Rattus norvegicus: one gene and its partner. The protein of the gene in region 1 purifies or fractionates together with the protein of each later gene. This does not show direct contact. Links are inferred from orthologs where the notes say so. Each region holds a gene or a part of one and is shown in the gene's direction. Other genes may lie near its edges. The genes, in order: Klhl6 and Nudcd3.

What was found.
Region 2: the proteins of Klhl6 (region 1) and Nudcd3 purify together in Homo sapiens (affinity purification with mass spectrometry; 3 studies listed by BioGRID and IntAct, counting the BioPlex papers as one, with this or other methods). This does not show direct contact. The link is inferred for Rattus norvegicus from reciprocal best matches to the Homo sapiens genes KLHL6 and NUDCD3.

What each region holds. Positions count from the first base shown.
Region 1 is NC_086029.1:94,499,238-94,503,054, forward strand, and holds part of Klhl6 (kelch-like protein 6), read left to right. Parts: exon of another isoform or gene 1-2,219; intron 2,220-2,467; coding exon 2,468-2,917; intron 2,918-3,817. UniProt on the Homo sapiens protein: Involved in B-lymphocyte antigen receptor signaling and germinal center formation.
Region 2 is NC_086032.1:85,262,842-85,266,658, reverse strand, and holds part of Nudcd3 (nudC domain-containing protein 3), read left to right. Parts: intron 1-369; coding exon 370-692; intron 693-3,817.

The sequences.
Region 1 (3,817 bases):
AGGAGAGAACCGGAGCTTGAGTGGACCTGATAATCGGGACAGGAGAAGAGGGGCATTTGATTATGGAGGCATGAGCAGAGGTGGGCGGGGAGAAGGACGCGGTGGAATGGGCACTGGAGAGTGAGGTGGCTTCAATAAAGCCTGGTGGACCCATGGAGGGAGGACCAGATCTTGATGTAGGCCTTCCTGTAGAACCCAATGAAGACTCTGACAACAGTACAGTTTATGACAAAGATTAAATGACACTGTGAGTCTGGATGATCTGGCAGACTTCTTTAAGCAGTGTGGGGTTGTCAAGGTGAACCACAAAGGTGACGCCACAGTGTCCTATGAAGATCCACTAACTGCGAAGGCTGCCGTGGAACGGTGTGATGGGATTTTCAAGGAAGCAAACTTAGTTTCTCTTGCCTGAAAGAAGCCTCCAATGAACAGCATGCGGGGTGGCATGCCACCTTGTGAGGGCAGAGGGACGCCACCATCACTTTGTGGAGGTCCCAGAGGACCCATGGGTCACATCGGAGGCTGTGGAGGAGACAGAGGAGACTCCAGAGGGAACCTCTCTGGAGGAGGAAATGCCCAGCACCGAGCTGGAGACTGGCAGTGTCCCAGCCTGGGCTGTGGAAACCAGAATTTCCCTTGGAGAACAGAATGCAACCAGTGTACAGCCCCTAAGCCCGAGGGCTTCCTCCTGCCACCCTTTCTACCTGGGGTGGTGATCGAGGCTGAGGTGGCCCTGGTGGCATGCGAGGAGGAAGAGGTGGACTCATGGACTGTGGTGGTCCTCAAGGAATGTTCAGAGGTGGCAGAGGTAGAGACAGAGGAGGCTTCTGAGGTGGCCGTGACGTGGAACGAGGTGGCTTTGGTGGAGGACGGTGAGGTGGTTCCTGGAGGCCTCCTGGACCTTTAATGGGACAGATGGGAGGAAAAAGAGGTGAACGTGGAGGACCTGGGAAAATGGATAAAGGTGGACACGGTCAGGAGCACAGAGACCCACCCTACTAGACACCTGCAGAACTGCACTGACGAACAGATCTATTTTTTTAAACCAGAAAATGTTTAAATTTATAATTTCATATTTATAATGTTGGTGACAACAGTATGGCTATTCCTTGTCTGTACTTTAGGATTTTCACCATTTGTGAAGAAACACTGAAACAAGTTAAATGGTAAAAAAAAAAAAAAAAAAGTGTCATGAGGGGGAAGGGCAAGGAAAGAGGGAGGGAAGGAGGGAGTGAGCTATGCACGCATGTCGTTGTATATCGGTGCAGGTGCATGCATGCCATAACCTGAATGTGGAGTCAGAGGACAACCTTTGAATTTGGGCCTTACCTTCTACCTTGTTTGAGATAAGGTGCGTAAACCAGGCTGGCAGGCCCATGTGCTGTAATGCATCCTCCTGTCCCAGTCTTCCATAGGGAATAGTGGGATAGCAGATCCTTTCATCATTAAGCGTGTGATTGTGGGTTCTGGGGATCAGAACTTGGGTCATCGGGTTTGATTAACAAGCACTTCTATCCGCTGAGCCATCTCCATAGCTTAAAAGACAAAGATTCTTACTTAAAATAATGATAAAGCCATTATCGCTCTTAAAAATAATAATACTTTTTCATGCCCCTAAATATTAGTGCCTGTAGACACTTCTCTGACTTCGTTACTTAAATCGGTGATCCAAATATGGTTCATACGTTGAAGTAAGTTGATATTATCTCCCCAGTCTCTCGTCTTTAATATACTTTTATTCTTTGATAATCTATACATGGATAGAATGTCTCTTCATCTTATTTATATCTCACTTCTTCTCTAATTCTTTCAAGACTCATCCTGACCCCTCATCCCTCCGCCCAACTTTAGGATCCCTCTTTTAAAAATAACTACTGCATCCATCTTGTGCTGCCCATTGACTTGTAGATGTAGGCGGAGCTCAGGTTCCTACATCCTTTTCCTCCTTTTCTCTCCTTTTTTTCCCCACTTGTAGCATATTCACAGAAGAAATTCAATCACTTGTCCCATGGATTATCCCACTGTATAGCTATAGCTGAATGTCTATTTATGGTATCATTTAACAGGTATTTACTTGTATATCATTTCTGTAAATTGATGATTAAATACAGAGGCTTAAATGTGGGAACTGCAGCTTGATGGCAGAACACTTAGCATGTGGTGATGTGTATCTGCCCTCAGCACTACAAAATAAAATAAAATAAAATAAAATAAAATAATCTAGGGGTTTGATCAGATTTGATGAAGAGGTTTGAAAATCTTTACATTTTCACGTGACTTAAGGTAATCTTAAACACGCTCTTAGACTATTTATAGAGTTGTTGTTATACGAATGTATTATTTTTAGACTCTCCCCTTGTGGTTGAGCATTTACGATGTGTCTAAGTTTGGCTGGCACACGCAACTCACTGATAAATGTTCTTGAAGGATGATCACTTTCTGGCCTGACTTTCTTCCCTTCTCTTAGTTTCTACAGCTGGTGGATGCCTGTGCCAGCTTTCTCACAGAAGCATTAAACCCAGAAAATTGTATTGGAATACTGAGGCTGGCAGACACACATTCCTTGGACAGTTTAAAGACGCAAGTTCAAAGCTACATCATTCAAAACTTTGTTCAGATTCTGAATTCTGAGGAGTTCCTCGAACTTCCCGTGGACACCTTGTACCACATTTTGAGGAGCGACGACCTGTGTGTGACTGAAGAGTCTCAAGTGTTTGAGACTGTGATGAGCTGGGTCCGGCATAAACAGTCAGAACGACTCTGCCTGCTCCCCTGTGTCCTTGAGAACGTGCGCTTACCGCTTCTGGACCCCTGGTACTTCGTGGAGATGGTGGAAGCAGACCCTCTCATTAGACAGTGCCCTGAAGTCTTCCCCCTGCTTCAGGAAGCCAGGATGTACCATCTTTCTGGCAACGAGGTGAGTTGGACTTGAGAGATACTGCATTTTGTGGGAAATGTAAGGCATTATAGCCAGGGACTCTCCTTGTCCACAAGTCCGTCATTCCCGAAGCTGGGTTTCAGTGTAATGAGGATGACATCACATTTCCATACAGCTGTTGGGAAGCTTAAGTGAGACCTGGAAAGCTGTGGCCCTGTGCCTTCACATTCATCCTCTGCCCAGGTCTGTGTGGTCTAGTCAAATCGCCATTATGAAGGGGTTCTACTTTCTTCCATTTTCCTGCTGTTGTGAGAATTTGTATCTGTTGTTCTATTCTAACATTGCCTAGATCGAGAGTCTCATCCTTTCTTTCCAGAATTTCTGAAAATCCCTTAGACTTCATCACTGTGCTCCTAGTCTGTCCTGCCTCCATCTCATTCCTGCCCCTGGTCTGGTAGAAGACACGGGTGTGAGCTTTGCCCCTGGCCGTTCGGCTCTTCACTTTCAGGAAGATACCCACTCTTTCTGCTACAGTTTCCTAAACTCCACTTTGATGGAATATCTCCTGCCCAGGTCTCCGCCATCATTTACCACCTACTTCTATGGTGTTTTATTTTTTTAATTAAAAACAAATTTAATTAACATGTATTTTTAAATTAAAATATAACTCCATTATTTCCCCTCTTCCCTCTTCTCACTCCAACTCTTCTGCTGTGTCCCTCTTTTGATCAAATTCATTGCTTCTGTTTCTTTAATTGTTGATGTATACATTCTGTTGTAGTTTTGATGTAGTTCCTCCAAAGGATATGTTTTCCCAGCCTTTAAAACAAGGCAGATACTATCTAAATGTCGTCTTCTTTTTACTTCCTCTACTTAACTTCTGCTTCTACTCTAAAACTCAAGCCAAGGTCAACTTCTCCAAAGAACCCATTGTTTTCT
Region 2 (3,817 bases), on another chromosome or scaffold:
CACTGCGGAGGCCAAGGCCAAGCTTGATGAGTTCAAGGCCAGCCTGGTTTACAGAGCAGATTCCAGGGCTACTAGAGAAACCCTATCTTGCAACAGCCCCCACCTCAGTCCCCCAAAAGTAAAGACAATTAAAGCTGTCTAGAGTCCTCGAGGTTTGTATGTGGTGAGATCTGACTTAGTTTGCATTTGTTCATTTTGGAAATGAGGAAGAGTGATTCCTACCAGGTTTTGGTGAAATTGTAGAGTGTGTCCATTTTGTTTTGGTTTCCTGTTATTTAATTTTGTACTTAGAAGATAGTTATATTTCTGTGGTGGTGTGGTCTGACAGGGTGCAGATAAACTTATTGTTGGATTATGTTTCATTTTTAGGTCTTTAAAACATTTGATCACATGGCCCGCCAGGATGATGAGAAAAGGAAGAAGGAACTGGAAGAGAAAATCAGAAAAAAGGAGGAAGAGGCCAAGGCAGTGGCAGCTGCCACAGCTGAGAAGGAAGCTGTGCCAGTCCCAGTGCAGGAGGTGGAGATTGATGCTACCACAGCGTTGAGTGGACCTCGGGAAGTAGAAAAGGAGGAGCTCCCAGGCCCACAGGGCCCCGAGCGCAAAGTGACCCATGGCTCGGAGGAGGCAGAAGCTCCAGGAACAGCTAGCAGTGCTGCTGAAGGCCCTAAGGACCCTCCTGTGCTCCCCAGGTAGGAGCCTCTCCTCTTCAGTGTCCTCCTTTCTCTACTGAGGTTAAGTTTGCCTAGGAGTGGATTTTGTTTTGTGTGGTATATAAAATATCAGTTCTGTTTTGGTGGGTGGTGGTTAACTACAGAAATTTATTTTCTAATTGTTCTGGAGACTGGAAACCCCAAATTAAAGTATTGCCTGGGCTCTTTATTTGAAGGCTTCTATCAGTGGCTTGCAGACAGCCATCTTGCTGTCTCCAAATGGCCTTCACATTCCTTTGTTCTTGCTGGTGTCTTAGTCTCCTAGTCTCAAGCAGCACTCAGACACATTAATTAGTGAGCAGACTGCCTTCCATCCAGGCGCTTCCGGGCCTCCTTTAGGAAGGGCTCAGCTTTGAGTCTGTTACCTCAGAGGTTTACTTTGTTTGTTTGTTTGTTTGTTTGTTTATTTTCAAGACTGTGTAGCTCTGGCTATTCTGGAACTTGCTTTGTAGACCAGGCTGGCCCCGAACTCAGATCTGACTGACTAGGGCTAGTTGATTTTGGGGGTGGGGTAGAGGTTCTTCTCGGTGCTGGAGAATTCAGGTATTCAGAAAAGTTTTCCCATGTGCATGTACCTACAATCCCAACACTTAGAGGTAGAGTCAGGAAGATCACTTAGGTTTGAGGCCAGCATAGTCTATATAAAGAGTAAGAGGCCAACCTGGGCTATAGAGTGAGACCTGTCTCAAAAACAAAAAATAGCAAGTGCAAGAAAACATGAATTGCCTGTCTGTTTATAAAGTGATCTTGAAGATTGCCAAGGTGAGAGTCAGTTTTTTTCTGTCATGTAGGCAGGGCTGTAGTTTCTCGTCACTCAAATACTTGTCCAGTATTACTGTGAAGAATATGTAGCTATGTGTAGGGTCTGTAGTAGTGGACCTGATCAGTTTCAACTTCCCTGAGGTAGAAGAAGTTCTGTGCTTGGAATCTGCACTCAGTAAAGTTCTGTGGATGGGACCTGTACTCAGTTTTGGGGAGCTTACAGTGGCCTATGTGGATTTTGGACTGGCTTAGACATCCCCCATAGTTATATTCATTCATCTGTCTGTCCATCCATCCTTATATCTGTTTGAAACAGGGTCTCTCTACATAGCTTTGACTGTCCTGGACCTCTCTATGTAGACCAGGCTAGCCTTTGCTTTCCCAGTGCTGGGACTAAAGGTGCACGCAAACATGCCTGCTCTGTGTTTGCTTTTTCACTGTGTGTATGGGTGGGCTTGTGCCAGGGTGCATGTGTGGAGGCCACGGGACATGTTAGAATACTGGTTCCGACTCTCTCTCATCTCGGCTGCAGGGATTGAACTCAGTTTGTCAGACCATGCTATCTTGCCAGCCTTCACAGAAATCCTTTTCAGTATTTGCTGCTAGTTCTGTTTCTCTTAACTCTTGACAGATACAGATGTTTCATGGCATAATTAATGTTAAGTGAGAGTAACGGTATATACCTTACTGTTGGATGCCAAATCTGAAAACCCTAGAGGAGCAATGCATTATTAATGGTGACTTTCACAGAGCCATGCAGTAAGGAGTATTTTAGCTGTCTGTGTGTATAAGTGCATATGGCGGTCAGAAGACAGCCTTGGAGGCTGTTCCTCAGGTGCCTTTTTTTAAAAATTTTGATAGAGTCTCATTACCCTGGAACTTCCACAAGTTGATCAGGTTAAATGGACAGTGACGTTGCAGTCCCCCTTGTCTGCCTCTCCTGGACTAGGATTATTACTATTTTAAATTTTTTTTTAAGAATTATTTATTTTATATATATTTTATTTTATGTAGCTGTCTTCAGACACACCAGAAGAGGACATCAGGTTCCATTACAGATGATTATGAGCCACCATGAGGTTGTTGGGAATTGAACTCAGGACCTCTAGAAGAGCAGTCAGTGCTCTTAACCACTGAGCCACCTTTCCAGCCTGTGGACTAGGATTATTAACCTCCACTGTACCTGACTATTTTGCTTTGTTTTGACTTGGGTTTTGGAGGTTAAATTCAGATCTTTTCACTTTTAATTTTATTTTAAAGAATAGGGTCTCACTATGTAGCTCTGGCTGACATGGAATTCACTCTGTAGACTAGGCTGGCCTCAAATTGACAGATCTCTACCAGCCTCTGCCTCCCAAGTGGTGGGATCAAAGTGTTCTAGCATAGGTTTTAAAGGCAAGCACTTTACTGCACAGATGGAGACATTCCTGCAACCTCTCATTTTTATATTTACCTTTTTTAAAAAGACAAATGAAGGGTTGGGGATTTAGCTCAGTGGTAGTAGAGCACTTGCCTAGGAAGCGCAAGGCCCTGGGTTCGGTCCCCAGCTCCGAAAAAAAGAACCAAAAAAAAAAAAAAAAAAGACAAATGAAGAATTTTGGTTTACTTTTTTAAAGATGCATTTTCTTTTTTTTTTTTTTTCTTTTTTCTTTTTTTTCAGAGCTGGGGACCGAACTCAGGGCCTTGCGCTTGCTAGGCAAGCACTCTACCACTGAGCTAAATCCCCAACCCCAAAAAATGCATTTTCTAAAATAAAAAGAAATTTGTATTTAGCTTGAGTAATGGACTAGAAGAATAACTACCTTATGGTGGGGCTCTCTTTTAAGTTCTTAAACAGCAAGCTGCATTCTGGCTATGGTGCCAGTCCGAGTGCTACCATAGCAGTGAGTTTAAAGGGAAGATTTGTATGTGTTTCCGAAACCCACGTTTTTACTTCTCTAGTTGCTGTTCAGGTTAGACCTCTGATGTCCTGACCTTTCTTTCTGTGCTTAGATATGTAGTGTCTCACCTTTCAGTAGTTTAATGGTGAGTCAGTTCCTAGCTGAAGCATCAGTCTACAGCTGCGGCTGAGGTGCGGTTTCTGTGCGTCTGAAAATGGAATGTCAAACGCGCTTCTTTTCTTAGTTCCACTTGGAGCTGGATCCCCGGAGTTCCTCCACCAATTAGCTCTCCATGGTAGATGTGAAGCTGTGTCATTCTGTCAGTTGAATAATTGAAGAAGAATCTTAAGGCGACTATCTATGCTCAAGCACCTCTCCCTTTCAGTATCCTCTTCATAGTCCGTTACCTAGGATCTGAGACTTTGAACACTGATTTCTTTTCTTTTTCCTTTTTTCCTCCTT